6 linked regions of the Macaca mulatta genome follow. The protein of the gene in region 6 interacts with the protein of the main gene of each other region in a pairwise test. Links are inferred from orthologs where the notes say so. Each region holds a gene or a part of one and is shown on either strand. Other genes may lie near its edges. The genes, in order: MAGED1, BCCIP, EMD, TTC19, ABCF3 and CCDC33.

The links.
Region 1: the proteins of CCDC33 (region 6) and MAGED1 interact in a two-hybrid assay, tested with the Homo sapiens proteins (2 studies listed by BioGRID and IntAct). The two-hybrid records come from large-scale screens. The link is inferred for Macaca mulatta from reciprocal best matches to the Homo sapiens genes CCDC33 and MAGED1.
Region 2: the proteins of CCDC33 (region 6) and BCCIP interact in a two-hybrid assay, tested with the Homo sapiens proteins (3 studies listed by BioGRID and IntAct). The two-hybrid records come from large-scale screens. The link is inferred for Macaca mulatta from reciprocal best matches to the Homo sapiens genes CCDC33 and BCCIP.
Region 3: the proteins of CCDC33 (region 6) and EMD interact in binary tests that used the Homo sapiens proteins (3 or more experiments, as listed by UniProt). The two-hybrid records come from large-scale screens. The link is inferred for Macaca mulatta from reciprocal best matches to the Homo sapiens genes CCDC33 and EMD.
Region 4: the proteins of CCDC33 (region 6) and TTC19 interact in a two-hybrid assay, tested with the Homo sapiens proteins (2 studies listed by BioGRID and IntAct). The two-hybrid records come from large-scale screens. The link is inferred for Macaca mulatta from reciprocal best matches to the Homo sapiens genes CCDC33 and TTC19.
Region 5: the proteins of CCDC33 (region 6) and ABCF3 interact in a two-hybrid assay, tested with the Homo sapiens proteins (2 studies listed by BioGRID and IntAct). The two-hybrid records come from large-scale screens. The link is inferred for Macaca mulatta from reciprocal best matches to the Homo sapiens genes CCDC33 and ABCF3.

Annotation. Positions count from the first base shown.
Region 1 is NC_133426.1:51,753,049-51,757,208, forward strand, and holds the start of MAGED1 (melanoma-associated antigen D1), read left to right. Parts: upstream 1-1,360; 5' UTR 1,361-1,371; coding exon 1,372-1,416; intron 1,417-4,160. UniProt on the Homo sapiens protein: Involved in the apoptotic response after nerve growth factor (NGF) binding in neuronal cells. Inhibits cell cycle progression, and facilitates NGFR-mediated apoptosis. May act as a regulator of the function of DLX family members.
Region 2 is NC_133414.1:137,877,323-137,881,597, reverse strand, and holds the start of BCCIP (BRCA2 and CDKN1A-interacting protein), read right to left. Parts: upstream 2,801-4,275; 5' UTR 2,789-2,800; coding exon 2,624-2,788; intron 1-2,623. UniProt on the Homo sapiens protein: During interphase, required for microtubule organizing and anchoring activities. During mitosis, required for the organization and stabilization of the spindle pole.
Region 3 is NC_133426.1:160,532,518-160,536,768, reverse strand, and holds EMD (emerin), read left to right. Parts: upstream 1-1,451; 5' UTR 1,452-1,549; coding exon 1,550-1,631; intron 1,632-1,754; coding exon 1,755-1,859; intron 1,860-2,024; coding exon 2,025-2,102; intron 2,103-2,316; coding exon 2,317-2,450; intron 2,451-2,904; coding exon 2,905-2,954; intron 2,955-3,038; coding exon 3,039-3,366; 3' UTR 3,367-3,773; downstream 3,774-4,251. UniProt on the Homo sapiens protein: Stabilizes and promotes the formation of a nuclear actin cortical network. Stimulates actin polymerization in vitro by binding and stabilizing the pointed end of growing filaments. Inhibits beta-catenin activity by preventing its accumulation in the nucleus.
Region 4 is NC_133421.1:18,121,214-18,124,713, reverse strand, and holds part of TTC19 (tetratricopeptide repeat protein 19, mitochondrial), read left to right. Parts: intron 1-244; coding exon 245-283; intron 284-1,283; coding exon 1,284-1,340; intron 1,341-1,655; coding exon 1,656-1,717; intron 1,718-3,500. UniProt on the Homo sapiens protein: Required for the preservation of the structural and functional integrity of mitochondrial respiratory complex III by allowing the physiological turnover of the Rieske protein UQCRFS1.
Region 5 is NC_133407.1:96,327,590-96,330,200, reverse strand, and holds the end of ABCF3 (ATP-binding cassette sub-family F member 3), read right to left. Parts: intron 1,872-2,611; coding exon 1,783-1,871; intron 1,676-1,782; coding exon 1,584-1,675; intron 1,406-1,583; coding exon 1,273-1,405; intron 1,142-1,272; coding exon 1,054-1,141; intron 966-1,053; coding exon 807-965; 3' UTR 501-806; downstream 1-500.
Region 6 is NC_133412.1:52,149,562-52,153,797, reverse strand, and holds the start of CCDC33 (coiled-coil domain-containing protein 33), read right to left. Parts: upstream 2,801-4,236; 5' UTR 2,416-2,800; coding exon 2,395-2,415; intron 1-2,394.

The sequences.
Region 1 (4,160 bases), on a different chromosome or scaffold from region 6:
GTTAGATTTCAGGAGGTAAAAAGTGGTAGAAATTACTTTATTTCGTTTTTCTTTTTTTCTTTTTTTCTTTTTGAAACGGAGTCTCACTCTGTCGCCCAGGCTGGAGTGCAGTGGCCGGATCTCAGCTCACTGCAAGCTCCGCCTCCCGGGTTCACACCATTCTCCTGCCTCAGCCTCCCGAGTAGCTGGGACTACAGGCGCCCGCCGCATCGCCCGGCTAGTTTTTTGTCGTTTTTTTTTTTTTTTTTTTCTACAGGAATAAAATAGTGGAATTGTTCTCTGATACCATAAGTCAGTCAACCAATCTCTCCCACCCCACACACATACATTTAATTTTTTTCTATATTCCTCGAATGTGAGGTACCTTTAATTTCTTAAAAAATCTCAGTAAGTGTGCTGTTGCTGAATCAGTTTTTTTACATTAAGTACTACAGGGTTTCATCTGTCATTACTTTTTATGCTAACCATTTTGTAACTTTTATCTGAATAATTAAATACTTGTAACTAAATTATGTTTGAAGATTCTTAATCTATATAGGAGAAAACTTGTTTTATTAAATTTCATTTATTAGTGTTATTCATATTAGTAAAGTGTCTACTTTTTCTCTGTGGTTGTCAGAAGCTGGAGAACACCAAGTAATTTAAGATTTATTTGATTTGAGACTTTACCATAGTCAGGATATTTAAAGATATTTAACTAGGGGCACTATATGTATTAAAAGCTGACTTCCACTTTATAAAATTACAAAATATTAAAACATGCAGAAAAGTGTAAATAATAATAAAACAATGAACACTTTTGCATTTATTGCCTAACTCAATACATTTAGAAAATCGCAATGCAATTGAAGTCCCCTCTATGAACCCCCAATCACATCCTACTCCTTTTTCTCTACATGTTGCCATTATCTTCAATTCAGTATTTATCATTCCTTTGCATTTCTTTTGATTTTCCTACTTATATAAATATCACTTGAAATATATGAAATTATTTTGCTTTTTTGAACATTATTTATATGGCAGAAATGTATGCATTCTTCTACAAACCTGCTTTTTTATTGTTCATCATGGTATTTGTCAGGCTCATTAATGAATATAAAACTCATGCATCTATTTATAATCTCGTATAAAATCATAATTAAAAGTCTCACTCCATTTTTAATGTTTGACTGCTGACAGCTTTGAAGTCTTATCTCTCCCTGTTCTCCCTCTGTCCCACATCTGAGCAAGATAAGAAAGCCATGATGCAGTGTTCTTTACCACCAGTGTAAAGTTCAAACCACAGGTGAGAATCCTCACCCCAGCCCCACCCCCAACCACCATAAAAACCCAAGCCAGTGTTCTCTCCTTGCTTTATAAAGCCATGTTTGGATGTGTCTGAGAGCCACCCCTGCTCTCTGCAGAAAACCTCATTATGTGAGTAATCAGCTTTTTTATGAATGTTGGTGTGTGTTTGTTTGGTATCATTGGTGTTGACATTCAAACCAAATTTTGAACTGGTGTCCATCCCGTCTTTGTGGAGTATTCAAAAAATTATTTCAGTGTTCTTTTGTTAATGGATATTAGGTTGTTTCCTTTTTTTTTATAGTTGAAAACAATGGTTCTATGGATACTTTTTGTTTTTTCTTATTGATTTGTAGAAGTTACATTTATATTCTGGATATGGATTCCTTGTTAGTGTTGCAAATATCTGCTCTCAGTCCGTAGTTAGTCTTTTTACCTTAACGGTTTCTTTTGTAGTACAGAGGTGATGAATTTTGATATAAATTTTGATCAAATCTACCAGTCTTTTTATTTATGATTGATCTTTGTATCTTTAAGAAATATTTCTCTGATTTGGAGGTTATAAAAATGCTCTTCTAAATGTTCTAAAACCTTTAAAGTTGATTTTTCCCATTTAGGACTTTGATCTATTTATTTTTTGTTGTATAAGTTACTTCTTTTCTTGTAATGTCTTTGTCTGGTTTTTGTATCAGGACCATACTGGCCTCATAGAATGAGTTAGGAAGTATTTGCTATTCTTTAATTTTCTGGAAAAGTTTGTGTAGTACTGGTATTATTTCTTTTTAAAATGTTGGTAGAATTTGCTAGCGAAGTCATCTGACTCTTTAAAATTTCCTTGTGGGAAGGTTATACAGATGCTCCTTGATTTACAATGGGATTAAATCCCGATAAACCTGTTTAAGTTGAAAATACTGTAAGTTGAAAATGCATTTAATACACTTATCCTAGCAAACATTGTAGCTTAGCTTAGCCTACCTTAAACATGCTCAGAACACTTAATATCAGCCTACAGTTGGGCAAAATCATCTAACACGGAGCTTCTTTTATAATAAAATGTTGAATAGCTCATATAACTTATTGAATACTGTGCTGAAAGTGAAAAGCAGAATGGCTGTATTGGTGCTCAAAGTTTATTTTTTATGGAATGTATATCGCTTTTGCGCCATTGTAAAGTTGAAAGAGCATAAGTTGAACCATCATAAGTTGGGGATTGTACTAATTTAGTTTATTTGTTTCTTTGTTATTAATGTGTCTTTTTGTTTTTCCTGCATTGTTTCCAGAGTTTTTAAAAAAATCTCTTAATCAGATTGATTGTGATGAGCCTTGTAGTTTCCTTCATGTTTCTTTTGCACCAAATATGTTGATATTTTTTGATTTGGGGGTTAAAATTATCACTAAAATAATGGCAAAACCCACAATTAATAGTAACATATGAAGAAACAGTGGCTAAGAATTTTAGCTGCCTTCCTCTCCCGAGAATCATCTCCTTACCTCAGGGGATCTGCCGGGTGAAAAGTATTAATACTCCTCTCATCTTCTTTGGGGACTTTAATTACCTGTGTATTAAGTTGCTTGCCATTGTTCAACAGTCCACTGATATTCTTCATACTTCAAAAAAATTCTTTTCTGTCGGTTTCATTTTGGATGATTCTTATTTCCATTGTTTTCAAATTCTTTAATCTTTCCTTTTCCATAGTTTAATATGTCATTTATCCAATTTGGCGTATTTTTAAGCTCAGATATTATTATTTACATCTCTAAAATTTTAATTTGGGCGTCTTTGTTATAGTTTTCCATGCCTCTACTTAACTTTGTAAATGAATAGATTATGTCATAACTTTTTAAATGTCCGTGTCTGGTAACTCTAACATCTGCATCAATTGTTGGTTGGTTTCAATTTATTGATTTTTTTAAAAAAATAATTTCAAGCTTCTTTGCATTGCTGGTGATGTTTGTTTACATTCAAGCCTTGTGGATTTTACCTTGTTGGATGCTAGATATTTTTATATAACTAAAAATTTCTTGAGCTTTATTCTGGAATATGATGAAACTACATGGAAACAGTTTGATCCTTTTATGTCTTGCTTTTAAGATTGATTAGGTGGAACCAGGGTGGTGCTCAGTCTATGGAAAATTATTCCTTGCTGGCTGTTGGTAACAGGTGCTGTTCCTGTCCCAGTGTAAGTGATGAAAAGTGTTCTTTCTAGTGATTTCAAATGGTTCTCTCCCCTGCCTTGGGTAGTTTCCTCTATATACACTAATGTATACTCTGTTGAATACTCAATGGACCCTTTACAAATCTCAGGAGTTCTTTTTCTGCACTGTTTCCCCATTCTGCTAACTATTACCTGCAGATTTTAGCTGCCTTCTCACTGGACTCTGAGTGTTGTCTTCTTACCTCAGGGGATCTGCCAGGTTCTGTCTCAGTTATTACCCTTGCCTGTGGCATAATCTGAAAATTCTCTCAGGGAAGTATGCTGGGGCATTTATAGGGTCACCTTGTTTCTTTACCATTTCTCAAGGATTATTGGCCCTCACTACCTGATATCTATTGTTCTGAAAACAATTTACTTTTTAATTTTTCAACTAGTTGGGTAAATGGTCTCTGTCATTCCATCTTGCCCAGAAGTACAAGTTCAGCTGAGAGTTTAGAAAGGGTTAAGATTCTCATAAGTTTTTTATGTAGGGAATCTTATCAACTCTAAATATTAATAGTTTCCTTTATTCATTTCTAATCCTTACTCTCTTCTGCCTTCTCCTTTTCCTCCTTCCTCCTACTTCCTCCCGCACCTCTGGATAGGGTCTTCAGTATAATGAATGAAAGGGATGATAGCAGTGATTCCTGACTCCCATTATTAAAGGGGGAACACATTTCT
Region 2 (4,275 bases), on a different chromosome or scaffold from region 6:
TGCGCAAAAATCAAAATCACTTCAAAAGTCCCTGGAATTGTCTAGAGCTTGACTTAGCCCATGGATTTGAGGTTACACGTCATTTGCTTAGCAAATACTTATTAAGTACCAATCCAGGTACCAAGCACTGTGCCAGGCACTCAAGATGAAAAGGTTAGTAAGGCAGACACAAATGATCCTGCTCTCGTGCAGCTTACGATTTAGGGAGGAATACAGACATTAAGGAAATATTTATAGAAATAAATGTAAGTGCTATAAAACAAAGGTACACAGTGCTGTAACAACTTAAAAAATAAGAAGTCAGTCAGGAAAGGCTTCCTTAAAGAAGTGACACTTGAGCAAGGAACCAAAAAACGGCAAAGAGAGTTCCTGGTACAGGGAACGGAACAAACTAAGGCCCTAAGGCAGAAGGAGACACGATGAGTACAAGGGACTAGAAGAATGAATGTGTAGCTGGGCTCCCAGATCTCTATCTGCAAGACAACAGAATCTAGAAGATGGCACTAAAATGCCAAAAACAAAACCTCCTTCCTTTTAAACACTAACAAGATCAGTCCTTGAGGACCCTAAATCATACCTTGATAAGTGACACAATGAACTTGGGGCTCTGATGAAATAATATATTTTGAGGCACTTCAGGTTTTAATGGTTTGGGAATTTAGATCTTAGCTGAAGGACATCATAGAGGAAATCAGACCCCCTTTTACCTTGCCACCCTAACTACATATATATCTAAGGCTTCCTTAATTGTTAAATGTGCAAGGCCCTGGAATTTTGAAGCAATTCCAGCTCCAATTTGAACTCTTTTAAGTCCAGCTTTGCAGACTTCAAATGCTAACTCAGCCAGATTATGTGAGCAGCAAAACAAGGGGTCAGGTGGGAGTGTTTCAAACAGGATCAAACTAAACCAAATAACAAATTGTCATTATTCAGGACTTAAACTTATTCCTTAGACATAAATACATTCTGTAAATGATGCTCATCTAGTGTTTTTTTGTTTTTTTGCTTTTTTTTGCCTAGATAGATGTTTTCGACCTCTGTCCCAGACTATGATGGCACCACCAGGGAAATGGGCAGCAAATGGAGTATATGTCCAGCACCCTTTTCCTGGGTATGGGCTCATCTCCACATGGTTTCAGCAGGAACAGTCATGTTTGTAGAAAAGAGCCCTGTCCCTCATTCCCAAGTGATTTAGAATTAAGACTGTGGTGGTCTGATAGATTTCCCATGTTAACACAAGAAGCACTGATTTCTATAACCCAAAAGTAATAAAATAGCTAGTTAAAGTTCTAAGTGAAAAATGGTGAGATGGCATTCAAGGCACAGAGCCAAAGTAAAGATCTGTAAGGAAAGACTGATCACCTGCACACGTCATGGTGTCAACTCTAATCCTGCATCCATGCTTCTCTGTATCCTCCCCTCCATGCTCTTCATGACTGACTCATGGTTACCGCTGATTTTATTTCCTATCACTCTCTCTTCCTTATTCTGATCCAGCCATCCAGGCTGCCTTTCTGTCCCTCAAACGTAAGGATTCTGGATTTTCTTATAAATGAACTAGAAAGCCAATGGAGCACTCTGAGCAGAGGCGTGAGATCAGACCCACAAGATCTCTCTGACTGTAGATGGAGTATAGACTGATTGTAGGGAAACAAGAATGGAGAAAAGCACGCCGGTTAAAAGCTGTTATATTAAATAGTAGTCCAGGCAAGAGATAATGGAGGTGTGGACTACGATGGTCTCATAATCAGTGCTGAGAAATGTCTGGATAACAGGATTTACTGATGGACTGAATATAGGATGAGGAAAGGGAGGAATTAAAGTTAAGGAATTAAAGTTTTGGGTTAGAGCAGCTGGTGATTTTAGGGGCCATTTACAGAAACGGTGACGGTTAAGAGAGGGGCATGAATTATTATACAAATCTGCTTTGGACAAGTTAAGGTTGAGGTATCTATTTACACATTCAGTGGTCTGAAGGACCATTCAGTCCTAATTATTTATTAAACAAATAATAAGTACCTATATTTCCAGGCACTATAGGACCTATTCTGAAGAAAAGAACCCAGTTCTATAAGACTATGAAGCCAAAGATTTACCTACGATTTGGGTCAGCTGCCCCAGGAGCCAGAAAATACAGCCTAGCTGAGATCTGAAGAAGGGAAAACTCTGCAGGATGAAGAAGAGCGTCTGAAAAAGCTGCTACGGTAGAACCCGGCAGGAGCCTTCAAGAAACCGAGGGCCCACGTGAGTGCCGCCCGCAGAATGAAGAGGTCAGCTGCTGCCCTGCGGGGAGAGGGCCCCTTCTGCGGGCCCGCGGTGGCCGATTCAGGATTTGAGGCTTCAGCCTGAGAACTAAAGAGGGCGAGAACACACCTGTTGCGGCGGGCTTTTTCGGGGGGCCGCGGGTTGCGAGGTTAACCGGACCGGAGTCGGCCTTTCAAAAATAACCACTGTGGCTGCAGTGTGTGAAAGACCGAGGAGAAACCTGAGAAAGAACTTATCTCCAGCTTTTCCTCACAGACCCTCAGGGTTAGGGAAGTCACTACGCTATTTTTACACAGCCTGGGCTTGCCAGAAAGTTTTTCTCAGGTATAAACCAACTAGGGAAGCGTGTCCTTCCCACCTCGTCAATGACGTCGTCCTCTTCATCCTCTTCCTCGTCACTGTCGTCATCGTCTTCGTCCTCATCCTCGACTTCATCTTCCTCTTCTTCGTCGCGCTGGACTAGGGGGTCCGGCGGCTGCGGAACCCCACTTTCCACGGCCCGCCGCTTAGGCCTGGACGCCATGTTACCGCTCACACTGCGCCTGCGCAGCTTCCCCCTGCCTGACCTTCCGGATCAGTCCATAGTAGCCACGGGGGTGAGGGACTACGAAGAAGCTCGGAGCTGAGTGCACAACAACTCCAATGCCCCTGCTGGATTCCGCAGTCATGATCCCTTCCAGTTACGTCCAGCTTGCGGTCCTATCTTGCTTTTTTCTTCCTCTTTCCACCCTCCCTCACTCCTCCCAAAGCTTCCCCTCCCCTTCCCGTAATGGTTCAACCCATCTAACCTCTGTCCTCGATCCGTGGCCTGGATGTCGGTGCGCATGCGCGAGCGCCTAGCTGTGCGCGCGGCCGCCCCCGCATCCCGGGGCTGAGGTGCGGGGTCCGGCCCGCCGCGGCCCCTTAGGCTGCGCGGGCAGGGGGTGGCACCCCCTGTTGTCATTGCTCCTGCAGCCTCAGCAGCCTCTTCGCTGGGACTGCGCGACACCGCCCCCAGACTGGGTGCCCGCTGTGTGCCAGGCCCGGTGCTGGGCACGGTCCCGTCTCTTAGCCCATTCGAGCCTCCCCAGCCCCGCGAGGTAGGTGTCGCCGCCCGCGGTACCGGGTACAGACGCCGAGGCCCGCGGGCATGCAGGGGCCCAGCCCCGGGCAGTGTATTACACAGCGGGGCCAGGGCGCCGAGGCCTCTGCGGACACCTCCTGCCCAGGCGGGGAGGTCCGCGGCCCTTACGGCTGCGCAGGTGACGGAAGGCGCCTGGCCAACGTACCCTCGCCGCGCTTCTGGAGCGCGTTTCTTGACCTAAAAGTTTTTTTAAAGCCGGCACCGCAATTAAAAATGCTTCGGGGAGGGCGGGCGCGGTGGCTCATGCTTGTAATCCCAGCACTTAGGGAGGTCGAGGCAGGTGGATCACCAGAGGTCAGGAGTTCGAGACCAGCCTGGCCAACAGGGTGAAACTTCAACTCTACTAAAAATACGAAAATTAGCCGGGCGTGGTGGCAGACACCTGTAATCCCAGCACTTTGGGAGACCAAGAGGGGTGGATCACTTGAGATCAGGAGTTCGAGACCAGCCTGCCCAACATGGCGAAACCCCGTCTCCACTAAAAATACAAAAACCAACCAGGTGTGGTGGCGCGCGCCTGTAGTCCCAGCTACTCAAGAGGCTGAGGCAGGAGAATCGCATGAACCCAGGAGACGGACATGAACCCAGGAGACGGAGGTTGCAGTGAGCCCAGATCGCGCCACTGCACTCCACACCCCAGCGTGGGCGACAGAGGGAGACTCCATCTCAAAGATAAAAGAAGAGCTTCGGGGCCAGTGGGGGTAGTCTAGGTTAAAGACCCGAGCCTATTTTGAGAGAAGAGTGGAGGGGACTGTGGCCAACTGCAGAGCGCGCGCGCCTCTGCTGCCAACCCCTGTGGCAGGTGGGGATGTGGCCCAGGGCAGCCAGGTCTTTCCATTGCAAGAGAAACGGGGCTCATCAGCTTTCTAGGAATAAGATCTACCGTT
Region 3 (4,251 bases), on a different chromosome or scaffold from region 6:
TCAAGGCCCTGGGAATCCTAGCCACAGTTCAGGCTCCTGAGCAGGCCTTGGCAGCCTTCCATAGCTCATCACCGACGTCTGCCCCCTGCCTAGACACGCTGCCCTCAGGGACTATTCCGACAGGAGAGGACGCCCCGCTGCAGCTCCCCCCAGTGCCCCGGGTGAATGAACGGCATGAAGGATTAGGCGGGCACACGTTGTCTCTGTACGCATCGCACGGCGCCCTCTGCCCGCGCCCACTGGCGTGCCCGTCGGCATGCCCGGGCCCCTTCGAAGGCTGCTTGCTTCTGGAGTGCCAGCGGCCTCCTGGCCCAGTGCCCCATTTCCTCCCGGGTAGAGTGAGGGAGGAGGAAGGGAAGCAGAGAGGTAGGCGGTGGGAAGCAGCAGGCACATGTGCGCGGGCGAGAGCCCTGCAGACTGGGAAGAAGGGCCCGTGGCAGGGGGTCTGCGGAGATCCCATAGGCGCGGGCCTTGCCCCGCAGCCGCTTCCCGAGCAATGCGCACACAAAGCGCCCCCGGCAGTGCCTGGCCCCGGGCCCGCGCTCTCTTAGGGTCCGCTGCCGGGGCGGCCGACCGGGATGCGGCCGGGAAACCCTAGGCTCTGGGGCCCAGGAAAGGGGGGCGACGGCGGGGAGCAGGGATGTGCAGGGACCGGGCGAAGTCCAAGTGACTTAGGGACCAGAGCCACCCCAAGCGCCGACTTCGCCCGCTCGCACGTCCCGGGTCCCTAGCGCGCAGGCCCCATCCCTCTCACCCGGCTGGCTCAAGCGCGCCACAGGGTGACGTCTTGGCTCCCAGCCGTGTCGCCCTGACTCCCGCGCGGGCCCCGCCCCCTGCCGCTAGCCAATCTATGCGTTTGTGACTTTTGGGCCCGCAGCCCCGCCTACTCCCACTGCGATACCAGTTTGCATTGCCCTGACTCCCGCGCGGGCCCCGCCGCCTACGCCGCTAGCCAATCCGTGCGTTAGTGACGTGTGGCGCCCCTCGCGGCGCGGCTTGCTCCCACCGCGAGACCTTCTGCCCCGCGCCCGCGCGGGCCCCGCCTCCTCCATCGCTAGCCAATCCCCATGTTTGTGACGTAAGGGCTCTCCGCTCCGCTCGCTCCCAACGCAAGACCTTTTGCTCCGCGCCTGCGCGGGCCCCGCCCCCTCCATCACTAGCCAATTCCCGTGTTTGTGACATATGGGCTTGCGGCCCCGCCCGCTCCCACCGCGAGACCGGTTCCCACCACCCTGACTCCCGGGGGCCCGCCCCCTCTGCCGCTAGCCAATCCGTGAGTTGATGACGTTTGGGCTCGCGGCCCCAGCCTCCCAGCTCTCAAGGCCCGGCCGGTCTGTGCCGGCTACTCCCGCCGTTAGGTCCCGCCCAGCGCAGCGCGCGCAGCCTGCGAAGCCAGCGGCCGTGACGCGACAGCGATTCGGCTGTGACGCGAGTGCGGCCGCTCCCGATGCACTCGTGCCGCCCCCGCCGTGCTCCTAGGCAGCCGTTGCTCGGCCGGTTTTGGTAGGCCCGGGCCGCCGCCAGGCCTCCGCCCGAGCCCGCACCCGCCATGGACGACTACGCAGATCTTTCAAATACCGAGCTGACCGCCTTGCTGCGCCGGTACAACATCCCGCACGGGCCTGTAGTAGGTACGCGGCGGCGGGCGGGACCCCTTCCGGGCCCCCTCCTCGTGCTCCGCCCCGCGACCTCCCCGCTGCCCTCCCCGCGCCCCTTCCCCGGACCGCGGCCCTGACCGCCCCGTGTCCGGCCAGGATCAACTCGTAGGCTTTACGAGCAGAAGATCTTCGAGTATGAGACCCAGAGGCGGCGGCTCTCGCCCCCCGGCTCGTCCGCTGCCTCCTCTTATCGCTTCTCTGGTGAGAGCCTCGCCTGTGGGGACGGCCTGGGACGCGGGGAGGATGAGGTAGCGAGGGTGTGGCAGGGGTGCCGGTCGAGAGCGGCACTGGGGAAAGGGGAGGGAAGTCTTGGGGTGGGGGTGGGGGTGGGGGGGCAAACAGTTCTGTCTCCTCCTTTCAATCCAGACTTGAATTCGACGTCAGGGGATTCAGATATGTATGATCTTCCCAAGAAAGAGGACGCCTTACTCTACCAGAGCAAGGGTAAGGCAGGGGTTGGGTGGGCACGCTGGCACCTTCACCCGACTGCGTCAGGGACCCCGCTCACAGGGAGGACCTGAGACCTCAGTCCCAACCACTCCAGCAGCCTTAGGAGGGAGAAACTGTCACAGGTCCCGAAATGGGATTCAGATTAGGGCCATCGGGCCAGGCGGGGCACACCGATGCCCCCTCTGCTACCGCTGCCCCCCTTCCCAAGGCTACAATGACGACTACTATGAAGAGAGCTACTTCACTACCAGGACTTATGGGGAGCCCGAGTCTGCGGGCCCGTCCAGGGGCTTCCGCCAGTCTGTGACTTCACTCCCAGATGCTGACACTTTCCACCACCAGGTGAGCTGGTTGGCAGGCGTACTGTACTTGGGTACAACCTAGGGGATCGCGGCTGTGTTTGGATAAATCCAGGGGGCCACTGGGTACAAATGGTGGCCCTTGGGCCTCTGGGGAGACTTTGGCTCAGCAGACACCTGTTTGGTCAGGGTCCTACTTTGGGGAGCCCTCAGAACTATGTGACTAGAGCACATAGGATGCGTCCTGCACCCTGGTCTGGGATCTAGGCTCCAGCTCTTCCTGAGAGTCCTGGGGGCAAAGGGGGGTGCTGGGGCATGAGCACAAGTAGCAAGGCCCCATGGATAAAAGGCCGAACACCCAGAGTCATTCAGGAGGGTGTGGGTCCCTGGCCTTTAACCAAAGGTCAGAGGGGACCTGCTGGGGAAATTTGAGAGGGACGTGGCAGGGCCATTGTGGCCCTGCCAGCCAGTTCCCTCACCTTGACTCTCTTCTACAGGTACGTGATGACGACCTTTTGTCGTCTTCTGAAGAGGAGTGCAAGGATAGGTATGTATGTATGGGGAAGGCCAGGGACAGGGGCTGGTTCTGGACCCAGGCTCCTGGCCCACCTGTTCCCCTCTTTTGCCTCAGGGAACGCCCCATGTACGGCCGGGACAGTGCCTACCAGAGCATCGCGCACTACCGCCCTGTTTCAGCCTCCAGGAGCTCCCTGGACCTGTCCTATTATCCTACTTCCTCCTCCACCTCTTCTATGTCCTCCTCATCATCTTCCTCTTCATGGCTCACCCGCCGTGCCATCCGGCCTGAAAACCATGCTCCTGGGGCTGGGCTGGGCCAGGATCACCAGGTCCCACTCTGGGGCCAGCTGCTGCTTTTCCTGGTCTTTGTGATCGTCCTCTTTTTCATTTACTACTTCATGCAGGCTGAGGAAGGCAACCCTTTCCAGAGGGAGCCATGAGGGTCTGGGCTTCAGAGCCAGGTCTTCTGGGGAAGTCCTGGCTGACTGCCTTAGCAGTGGGGGTGGGGGTGGGGGTGGGGGCAGGGGCAGGGGCAGGGGCTTTTATGTGTTCTTGCTTGGGGGGCGCTGGGCCTAGCCCAGAGTAGTGCTTGCTCCCCCTGCCTTGTCCCACCAGGGAGGCAGCAGATTCAGGCCCTCCATGGGGGCCTGAGTGTGCTTTCCTCGGCAGCCTCCTGGCCCTGCTTGCCTGTAACCCTTAGGGTCCAGGAGGGCAAGGCCTCGCTCAGTCAGAGGAGAACATGGTTCTTGTTGTCATGCATGCCTCCTTTTTGTCATCTTGTTGGGGGGGATTAACCAAAGGCCACCCTTTGTTTTCGTGGACACACAATAAAAACCCCATTTATTTTTAATGCGTTGGCTCTTCCTGGAGGAGAGGGTTGGGCTCCCATGGCAAGGGCCTCTGCGTCTTGGGACTCGAGGATTGCAATCTGGCTTTGTTGGGTCCGCATTTTTGCTTTGGTCTGGGGATAGGAATCAAATGCTACCCAGAGATGTTTGTGTTTTGTTTGGGAGTTTTATTCCCTAACTCATTCCCCAAAGCACCTGTAACTGCTTATACATATAATTGTGGTACAACAAGGCGTATACAGAGAACCCACTTAGAAATTCAGGCAAAGCAGCCGGGCGCGGTGGCTCAAGCCTGTAATCCCAGCACTTTGGGAGGCCGAGGCGGGCGGATCACGAGGTCAGGAGATTGAGACCATACTGGCTAACACAGTGAAACCCCGTCTCTACTAAAAATACAAAAAAGTAGCCAGGCAAGGTGGTGGGCGCCTGTAGTCCCAGCTACTCGGGAGGCTGAGGCAGGAGAATGGCGGGAACCCG
Region 4 (3,500 bases), on a different chromosome or scaffold from region 6:
ATCATTAGCATGTTTCTTTAATGATGAGTGGACCTAGATTTGGTTTGTTAACAACAAAGTATGTGCAAGTATTTACTTCTCACATGATTGCTGTTCTGCGCTTCTAGCAGATTAATTGGTGACATGCTTTTCATTTTAAACTTTTTTTAATTTTGAGGGTGAAAGCAAAAGGGAATTTTAAAGTTTTGAAATAAGTAGGAACACAGTACTCTAAACTGAAAAACAATTTGTAATTTGCTTTCAGATGGCCAACTTAGCATTTATACGGGGTCAGCTTGAAAATGTAAGTAAATTACTTTGCAATGTCTTGAATTTGTGAAGGAGTAGCTTCAAGGGTACTGTGATAGTAAGGGTACAGGATAAGCTGCTATAACAAAGAGACCCCACAATATAGTGACTCAAACAAGATACAAGTGTATTTCTCTTTATTGTGTTAGTCCAGAGATAGGCTAAAGACTGAAGGCAGATAGACATAGGCACCATTGCTCTCTGATCCAGAAGTCCAGGTTCCTTCTAAGATAAGCCCTCATCTGCCTGGGTGAACTGCCTCACCTCCAGCCTGCAGGAAGCGGGAGAAGATGGACTGTGAGCAGCTTCCTTATAAAATATGATTTAGAAGTTCATGTTCTTTTTGCCTGCATCCCTTTGCCTAAATTTTATCATATGACCATATCTAACTTCAGGGTGTCCAAGCTGCTAAAATTGACTGAATGTTTTTTTTTAAGATAAGGTCTTGATCTGTTGCCCAGGTTGGAGTGTGGTGGCTTGATCACGGCCGACTGCAACCTTGACCTCCCAGGCTCAGTTGATCCTCCCACCTCAGCCTCCTGAGTAGCTGGGACTCCAGGCGTGTGCCACAACACCTGGCTAATTTTCTTATTTATTTATTTATTTATTTATTTATTTATTTATTGTAGAGACGGGGTTTCACCATGTTTCCCAGGCTAAATTGAGGGGACTCTGTAATCAAAAAGATGGAGAAGCAGAATGACTATTAGGAGACAGTTTGTAGTCTCTGCCACAGTGGGTTTGGATAAGAAGTTAATCTCTGAGGTTGTTTTCTGCTCATCAGAGAGTAGTTTAAGGTACATAGAGGATGCTGGGGGTCCTGATATTTTGATCTGTTTTCCTTTCAAAAGGGTACTTTTCTGTGTGTGAGTGTGCATGTGTGTGAGTATATGGGCTTTACAAGGAATGATACATCAGATTGGTACTTAGAATCCGGGGCCATATATATATAATGGGTCCCAATTAAAAGAAAAATCTTTTTCTTATGCTTTTAGGCTGAACAACTTTTTAAAGCAACAATGAGTTACCTCCTTGGAGGGGGCATGAAGCAGGTAAGGACATTGCCTAGTATTGGCCCCTCACTGAAGCAGTTTTCAGAACAGTCTTGTCTGCTGAAAACTCCTGCTAGCCCCACCATACGCTTTGGTCAGGAAAGGTGGAGTTTCCCTTCTGAGATCTGTATACAAATAGACGTTCTTTCACTAAATGCAACAGCATGTTCGCCAAGGAATTCACAGTTGGCTAATCACTCTAAAAGAATAAAGACTGTGGCTTTGAGGCCACCGTCAGTCTGGAAGTTGATCTGAAATAATCCAATTTGAATATTTGACTTGTTATGAATTCTCTTCATTCTCTTTCTCTCACAGGAGGACAATGCCATAATTGAAATTTCCCTAAAGCTGGCTAGTATCTATGCTGCGCAGAATAGGTAAGTACGGCAGCCAGGGAGTAGGACTGTGGGCAGAAAAGTTTGACTCTGGGATGTTACATAATATTCATTGCCTGCTGGTCATCTGGGTCTCCCAGAAATTGGGTGCCACACTCAAAAAGTGTTCTGTCCCTCATCTTTGGAATTGTCAGTCTTTTCCAGTTTGCCCCTCCTGTTTCCAGTAGCCTGCCTAGTGGGGCACACAGCATCTCTGGCTGCCCTGTGACAAAGCTAAGTTTTCTGTTGCTGCTTGAAGTGGGAAGGGAAGTTAGAGTTACAACTTTAGTTTAACTTTTTTAGAAGAGGAAAGAGCAGTGTGAAAGCTGCTGGGGATAATATATTAATACTCTGAAGAAGCCATTTTGCTGGTATAGATAGAGTTCAAAGATGAAGCATCTAGGATGTAAGCAGAGAACTCCTCTAGGGAGTTGTATTTGGGGTGAATTTAGGGAGAGACCTAAGACTAGCTTCACTTAGGGTTTTAGTGGTGCAGAAGTTGGTGCTAGAGGTTTGGAGTGACACGGAGCCTGATGCTGTAGAAAGGGTGCTTACCGAGACCAGGCCCTGGTACTGGTCCCTGCTGTCCTACTCACCAGCTCCTTTGTTCTCATCAGGACCTGCAGAGTCTCCTTGCATTTTGATTGGACACTAGATAGGCTAGAGCTTCCTAGAGCCTTTGACTTCATGTCTTTTGAGGAGCTTTGAGCTTGGCCTATGCCAGAGAACACTGCAGCTTGGTCAATCTTCCTTGGAATTGTAACAAACATGCCTAGTTCTTGATTGGGTATGAACTCCTAGGGTAAGAAGAAGCCCGGAGCTAATAAACGTTGTTGAATAAGACAAATTCATAGTCTTATAGACGTGAAAGCTAGTAACAATTAGCCTCTAAGTTACATGGTATACTGTACTTTTTATTTTGTTTTATTAAGACAAGCATGAGACTAGAAAAGACATGGCCAGATCTGAGGCTTCGAAAGGCTGATATAAGTTAGGAGGGGAATTGTTTGTGGACCTCTTGCTCTGACTGGGAGCATCTTGTGGGCAGCATCCACTTGCCCTGTGTTATGGCTGGAGAGGGCCCTCTTGCCAAGTTTTGAGTCTAGGGAAGGAAGGGGATGCTTCTCTTCTTCTGAGAACAGAGCAGAACAGTAGGGTCATAAGTTCTCCCCCGGCAAAGCACTAGAGAAAAGATGAGCTTTTAGTGCCACTTCTGTAAGAAACTAGAGCCAAAACCGAAGAACAAGAACCAAAACTGAGTTCCTAAATGGAGAAGGGATTTCTGTCACATTTCCTCTGCATCTCTGTAAAAAGCAGCAGTCAGCCAGCCTGCTTGGGTTAACTGAACCCTCTCCAATTGATTGAGGGTCCAGGGCTACAGAGTTGGGTTAAACGACTTCTATTGCCACAGCTAGGAGTTCCATTTCTGCAAAAGAAACTTTTATCAGAGACCTACAGCTTGAAATAAATATAAAATGACTAAAGCTCCTGAGAAGCTGTATGAGGTCAACAGTTGGAATCCTCACTGCAGGGTGGCCTGAACCTCTGTTCAGGGTAGTATTAGTTTGAACAGAGGTAAGACTTTCGCACATGGAGAAACTGATTCACTGGAGACCATCTGTTAGTGGGAGATGATGAAGACCGCTGGCTATGTCAGTTATTAAAATTAGGGCAGCATTCCTAGCTTTTTGTGTATTAAGTTATATTAAATGGATGACTTTTAACTACTTTGAGAAATGGCAGATTTGACACTCCTTAGACTTTAAACAAAGTTCCCTCTTCCCAT
Region 5 (2,611 bases), on a different chromosome or scaffold from region 6:
CTCCTACATGGTTAGAGGAAATATAAAGAACATGCAATCACCTAAGCAAAGTGAGGACAAAGACAGTTTCTCTTCAGCGCTGAGTCTAGAGAGCAGAGAAGCAGGGCAAGCCGGAGCCAGATACCACTGGAGAAAGGAGCCAGCCACGTGTGAGGCCAGGTTACAGAATCAGTTCAACTGCCCATCAGTGGGGGCTGTGGTGGCAGAACCCAAGACCCCTTCAGCTGAGGCTGAGCCCAGGCTAGGGCTAACAGCACCGCAGTGATGCCAATACACTGCCCTTCATTCCACTGGCTCAGCCCACCCCAAGGTCAGGCAGGCAGATGACCTCAATGCCCCAGCAGCTTGACAATGTTTCTTCTAGAGGCAAGGCTGGTGCTGCCATTGCTTCCTCCACGTGAGTGATACAAGTGCCATAGGAAAAGGCCAATCTGAGAGTCCATAGCCCTCAATAGGAGGCAACCACTGCCCAGGGAGCAGCAGACATGAGGCAAAGGAGATGCAGGGAGACATTTAATTTACATAGCAGCCACTTGGGGTCCAGTCAGAGCTGGGGCAGTGGGGAAACCTATAACCCCAGAGGGTACCCCCAGACCCCCGGCCCCCGGGAAACCAGTCCTCACCAACCCTTGGATGGGCTCCCAAGGTTGTGCAGAAGATGCTCCAGTCAAAAGGAGAGAGACATTTGGGAATAAGGCTGTCCCCAAGTTGGGGGAAGTCCACGGCCTGGAGTTGGTGGCCTATGTGGTGGCCCAGGGGTCTGAGAGACCAGTCCATGTCCTGGGCGAGTCCTCAGCCTGGTAGCCCTAAAGGAAGCCTTCGCGGCGGAACTGTTCCTGGAGGAGGGCGCGGTACTGGTCAAATCCTCCTTCCACGCGGGTGACGCCGCCTCCTTCGCACACCCATAACTCCCGGCACACCAGCCTGATAAAGCGTTCATTGTGGGACACCAGAATCACACCACCCTGAAAGACACGAGAGCAGGAGGTGCTGAGGGGGACACGAGAGGCACCGAGGCCTGGGGAGGAGTGGGCAGGGTGAAGGCACACTCACCCTGAAATTGTTGAGGGCACGGCCCAGAGCCTCGATGGTCTCCATGTCCAGGTGGTTTGTGGGTTCATCCAGAATGTAGAAGTTGGGGCTGGAAGGCAGAACCCAGGAAGGTAGGCAGTGAAGGGGTGTGGTGAGAGAAAATAAAGCCTTCTGATACAGTTTTCTACTGGGCAAGAAGGGGAAATGGGAGGGGAAGAGCTCTAGAAAATGAGGCCTCACCAGGGCATAGTCATCTGAGCAAAGGCCACTCGGCTCTTCTGGCCCCCAGACAAGCTGGCAACAGGACGCATAGCCAGCTCTCCGGAGATGCCATACCGACCCAGCTGGTGACGGTACTCCTCCTCAGGCCGCCCTGGAAAAGGACTCCCCAGATCAGGTGGTTTCTTGGCCCAACTCCCTCCCTGTACCCTCCAGCCACACCTCCAAGTCCCCATCTAGGCTTGGGAGGGCTGCTCTGCACTCACTCCAAGGCAGGTCTAGCTGCCGGGGTCAGCCTCATCCCTCTTTCCCCACTCAAATCCCCAACTCACCAGGAAACTTGCGTGCCAGCAGTTCCACAGCACTGATGTTCAGGTCCAGCTGCTCCACGTGGTGCTGGCTGAAATAGCCAATCTTCAGATTCCTGAAGACAGAAACCGAGGTGGAAAAGCAGACAAAGGCAACAGCCATGAAGGAGTGCAGGAAGCATGGGTGCCTGCAAGTGTGCTCATGGGCGGGGGTGCCTCTGACCTGTGAGCGTGTCTGATGCCCCGAACAGGTGCCAGGTCCCCCATAAGCAGCTTCAGCATGGTAGACTTCCCGGCCCCATTCTCTCCAACCTTAAGAAATGTGAAAACGTCATACAGTGTGTGCCAGAAAAATAAATACTGTAAGTTCTCACTCATATGTGGGCACTAGAAAATGTTTAGCACATAGAAGTAGAGAGTAGAGTTCTGGTTACTAGAGGCTGGGAAGGGTAAGCGGGGAGGAGGGGAATTGAGAGAGGAGATCGGGAGAGGTTGGTTAACCAAAACAGAATTGTAGCTAGATAGGAGGAATGGAGGAATAAGTTCGAGGGTTCTACAGCACTGCAGGGACGCTACACTTCACAATGACTGATTGTACATTTTTAAAAAGCTAGAAGATTTTGAATGTTCCCAACATAAAGTGATAAATGTTTACGGTGAATATGCTAATTACCCTGATTCGAACATTACACATTGTATACATGTATGGAAATATCACTCTGTACCCCATAAACATGTATAATTACGTATCAATAAAAAGAGCACCGCTGTGTGTAACACAGAAGGGAAGGAAATTAGAAGGGGTCTCAGGCAGTCCCCAGTCCCAATGACTCCATCAACAACCAAAAAAATATTTTTAAGGACTCTAGCCGGGCGCAGTGGCTCACGCCTGTAATCCCAGCACTTTGGGAGGCCGAGGCAAGCAGACCATTTGAGGTCAGGAGTTTGAGACCAGCCTGGCCAACATGGTGAAACGCTGTCTCTGCTAAAAATACAAAAAATAAGTTGGGCATGGTGGCAGATGCCTATAATCTCAGCTACTCATGAGGCTG
Region 6 (4,236 bases):
CAAACTCTTCCACCCACGCCTCCCTTGCCACCCCTCTCCTCCAGCAGTCTGGGAGGCCTGAGGAGCTGAGCCCGGTTCTGCCCTCCAGAAGGACCCTGCATCTGAAAAGTCACACCAGCTGGAGAGGGGCTGGGCTGCGAGGCAGGGTGCCTGACTGCCCGGATCTGTCATTTAGGCGAGTTATTTGACTGCAGTGGGGCTATTTCCCAGCAGTTTCACAAGGACTTTCAGTTAAAAATGGTTCCCCATGTTCCTTCTAGCTTTGGCATCTAAACTTGCCTGGGAGTTACGGTGGTCAGGGGAAAGCTCTTTTTCAGGTGAGGAAGCACACTCAGAGAAAGTAAACCTCTTGCGTGAAAGCACACGGCTTAGCTAGTGGGGCCGGGGCTGGAACTGGAAGCAGGGTCCGTCTGACCCCACGCTCTTGCTGTCTCTGCTGTGCTCTGACCATGCTTCCTTGGATGTGGGTCCCTTCTCTGCTCCACAGTGGATACCCCGTTGAACTCATAACCTGAGTATCCATTGGTGGCAGCAAGAGGAATTGTGTTCTTTGGAGCAGAGAAGCATTCCCAAAGATGACACAAAAGTCAGAAATCATTAAAAAAGGATAGGTTTGATTACATTTAAAAAATCTATACAAACTTCTGTAATGATCCAAAATGCCCTGCAATACAAAGAAAAGGAAAAAAGGAGAAAATGTTTGCTATATATTTAAAAAAGGATTAATATCCGTAGTATACAAAGAGCACTGAAACCTATAAGCATTACCCAATTAAAAAAACATGAACTGGGTATTCACAAAAGAAGAAACACAAATATATATATTATATACATGATGAGCATCCTTTTTTTTTTTTTTTTTTTCTTTTGAGACGGAGTTTCGCTCTTTGTAGAGACAGGGTTTCAACATGTTGGCCAGGCTGGTCTCAAACTCCTGCCTTGGCCTCCCAAAGTGCTGGGATTACAGGAGTGAGACACTGTGCCTGGCCAACATCATTTTTTTTTTTTTTTTGAGACGGAATCTCACTCTGTTGCCTAGGCTGGAGTGCAGTGGAACGATCTCGGCTCACTGCAACCTTCATGTCCCAGGTTCAAACTATTCTCCTGCCTCAGCCTCCTGAGTAACTGGGATTACAGCTGTGTCCCACCAAACCCAGCTAATTTTTGTATTTTTAGTAGAGACGGGGTTTCACCATGTTGACCAGGCTGGTCTTAAACTTGCCTCAGCCTCGCAAAGTGCTGGGATTACAGGCGTGAGCCACCCCCCCGGCCATGATGAGCATCCTTATGGGCGATTCTACCCAGCTATCAAAGTGCTTCTCAAAGCTACCAATCAAAGCAACCTTGGCTCCTTCTCAGGACTCCCACGCACACTCCCTGGATCCCCAATCCCAGCTATGTGGGGCAGGTGGGGACCACCTGGCAGCTTAGGGTGCCAGATCAAACTGGTGCCTGGTCCTGAGTGTGTGGCATTACAGAAAGAGTCTTAATGGGGAGGGTGGAGTCTGCGGAGGTTCAGGGGCAGCTGTGGGCAGAGAACATCAGGAACCAGAGACATCAAAATCAAGGGTAATAAAGTGGAAATCACACTAAGGCCTGAGCACCCCCAGCTATTTGGCTTATTCAAGCTGAGTATAACTACAAAGAGGGTATTCCCCGTTTGCAAGTACCGATGTGCCTTTGGTCTCAGCTCCTTCTGGTATCCCTGTGGGTAACACCATCTAGGGCAGGGGCTCTGCCTTGCTAGTGAGAGGAAGGTAAGGGGTCCCTTGCACTGAACTGTTTATATCTCATTGCAATAAGATTCTAGTCCCTTCCTGGCAGAACCCTGCTGCTAGGCCACAGCTTTTTATTAAGCACCCACTATGTGCCAGGCACTGTTCTGAGTGCTGGGGATACAGAGATGAACAAAACACACAAAAATCCCTTCTCTCCAGAGACCCAAGCATCTGCGTTCCAGGGCAGGGGCCTAGGCCCCAGAAAATCAGGGCCAGGGCTAGGAGAGCATGGGGGCAGTGGGGGCATCAGGGCTGCCAAGGTAGCAGCCTGGGAATATCCTGGGAGATATTGGATGGGGGTAATGAACCATCTCAGTGGGCTCTCAGACTGTGTGACCCCAGCAACAAGAGGGCAGAAACAAGCAGGTAAGGGTGGTCAGCACTGACAACACCCGCAAGTACACTGCATTCCAGTTCCCACGTGGCCCAAGAGTATAGGGCAGCTAACCTGGGAGAGCCACAGAGACCGCCTCACTCCCCATTTCACAGCTGTGAAAACTGAGGCCCAGAGAAGGGAAGCTTTTGTCATGATTAAGGAACAAATGAAACTTTGAAGGAGAGACTTTGAAGGAGGGATGGATTCATGCAGGTGTGTGGCCCATTCCCCTGGCCTTACCTTTTTGTTTTTCAGTCCCATCCTCTTGAGGCCAGGAGTGTCTGGCCTTGTTTAACAATCTTGGGGACGAGTACCTGGTATAAGTGGGTGATCAGGCATCAGTCCTGCCCAGACAGTTGGCCTGGGCGTCTTGGAGTCCTTATGGTTAGTGGACAGTATGGAGGTCAATGTGGTCTCAGGGGTGCCACACACCAGCCCTGGGGTCTGGATGTTGGGGAAGGGGGAGGGTGGCCAGGTGGGGGCAGGTCCTCGATCTCTCAGCAGCAAGATGGTCTATGGGTGGAGGGGCCTAGGGGGTTGCAGGCCATGGCCAGTTGGACAGGGTCAGCAACGAGGCGATTGACTCTTGGCACTCCCAGGACGGTGGAGAGATGGGAGAGCCCTCTCTCTGCCCAGGCCTGGAAAAGCAGTGAGCTTTTCCACCTAGCTGGGTCACCTGGGCAACATTGTGTGATGTCACAGGGCAGGGCCAAAGTCACACAGGCACCTGTCCAGGTGCAGTGAGCTAGAACACGAATCTCTTTTCCCTATTCCTGGAGCTGTGTTCCACCTGCCGCCTGGCACTCAGGCCTCACCCTTCCTGTTCTTGGTGCCTCACATAGTCTCCACCGACCCTGTGGCATGGCCAGCCCCATGCCGCTCACACTGCAGCAAAAGAGGAAGCCAGACACTGCTCTCAAGAGCGTGGCAGCTTGATCGGTAAAACAGCTACTTCTGTTGAAGAATCTACCAGCCATCGTGCCTCTTTGGGTACCTATAGTCTTCCATTTATTTGATAATAATAAACACAAACTTCAAGAGGATGGTTTCTTCTGGGAGGGTGGGTGGGAAGATGGGGGAGAGAAGAGGGTAAGAGCATACATTCTAAACCTTTGGGTTTTTAGATTGGGTGGTCAGTTAATGGGAGTTCATTATATTATTGAAAATAAATTAGAATTAAACAACTAAAGAAAGCCATGATGGGCCAGTGATGGCACTAGAGTATGAACCAAAGATTGTGGTTCAGTTCTGAGTGCTGCAAGAAATTATTACGAAGACAAAGTATGTCTTTTAGTGGAGCATTTGCAGCACACCAGGCAGGGTTCTAAGTGCTTTTGGTGAGGTGAGATGGCAGAATGAGGAGAGGCTAGTCGTTGGCCTGGGGTGGGGAGTTGTTCTATAGAGAGGTGAGGTCTGAACTGGGCTTTGAAGGATCATCAGAAATCCTGGGCTAGAAGAGGAGGGATCTGGGGTGCTGGGTGGTGGTCAGAGGTGTTTGGGAGGCCCCTGTGGCCTGCCTCATTTCTACCTATTTTGGGCCCCATGTTGGAGATTCTTTTAATCTGGCCGAAGAGCAGGACCAGCCTGGCAGCCAGGAGGCAGAAGACTCCTGCTTTGCAGAGGCCTCCCAGCCTCCCTCTCTACCCCCCCTCCAGAAAGAGCAGCAGCGAGGATGTGGTTCTCCCCAGGTTAGAGACAGAAAAACTGAGGCTTTGTCTTTGATTAGAACTGAAAGGACCAGCCAAGACCACCCAGACACTGGTGGGAGATGGAAGTCGGGAACCCCACTCCTAATTTTCTCCCCGTCTAGGCCTGCCAAGAGTGGTACCGCTGGGGCTCTGGGACTGGGGGCCTGACCAGGAATGGCCTGGCTGTGAGCACTGTGCTTTATCTCCCTTGTGGGCCAGCATGTCCCAGCACAGTGTGTATGTGTGGAAAGGTCTCAGGGGCTGCTCCCCCAGTCTCCCTAAAGCACCTCTCTCCCAGCCTCTCAGGCCTGCTAAGTCTAGGAGGCTAGGCCAGCAGGGTGAGGGGGTGGGGAGCCATTGCTTCTTCTCCAGCAGCAGGACTAAAGAGGCAAGC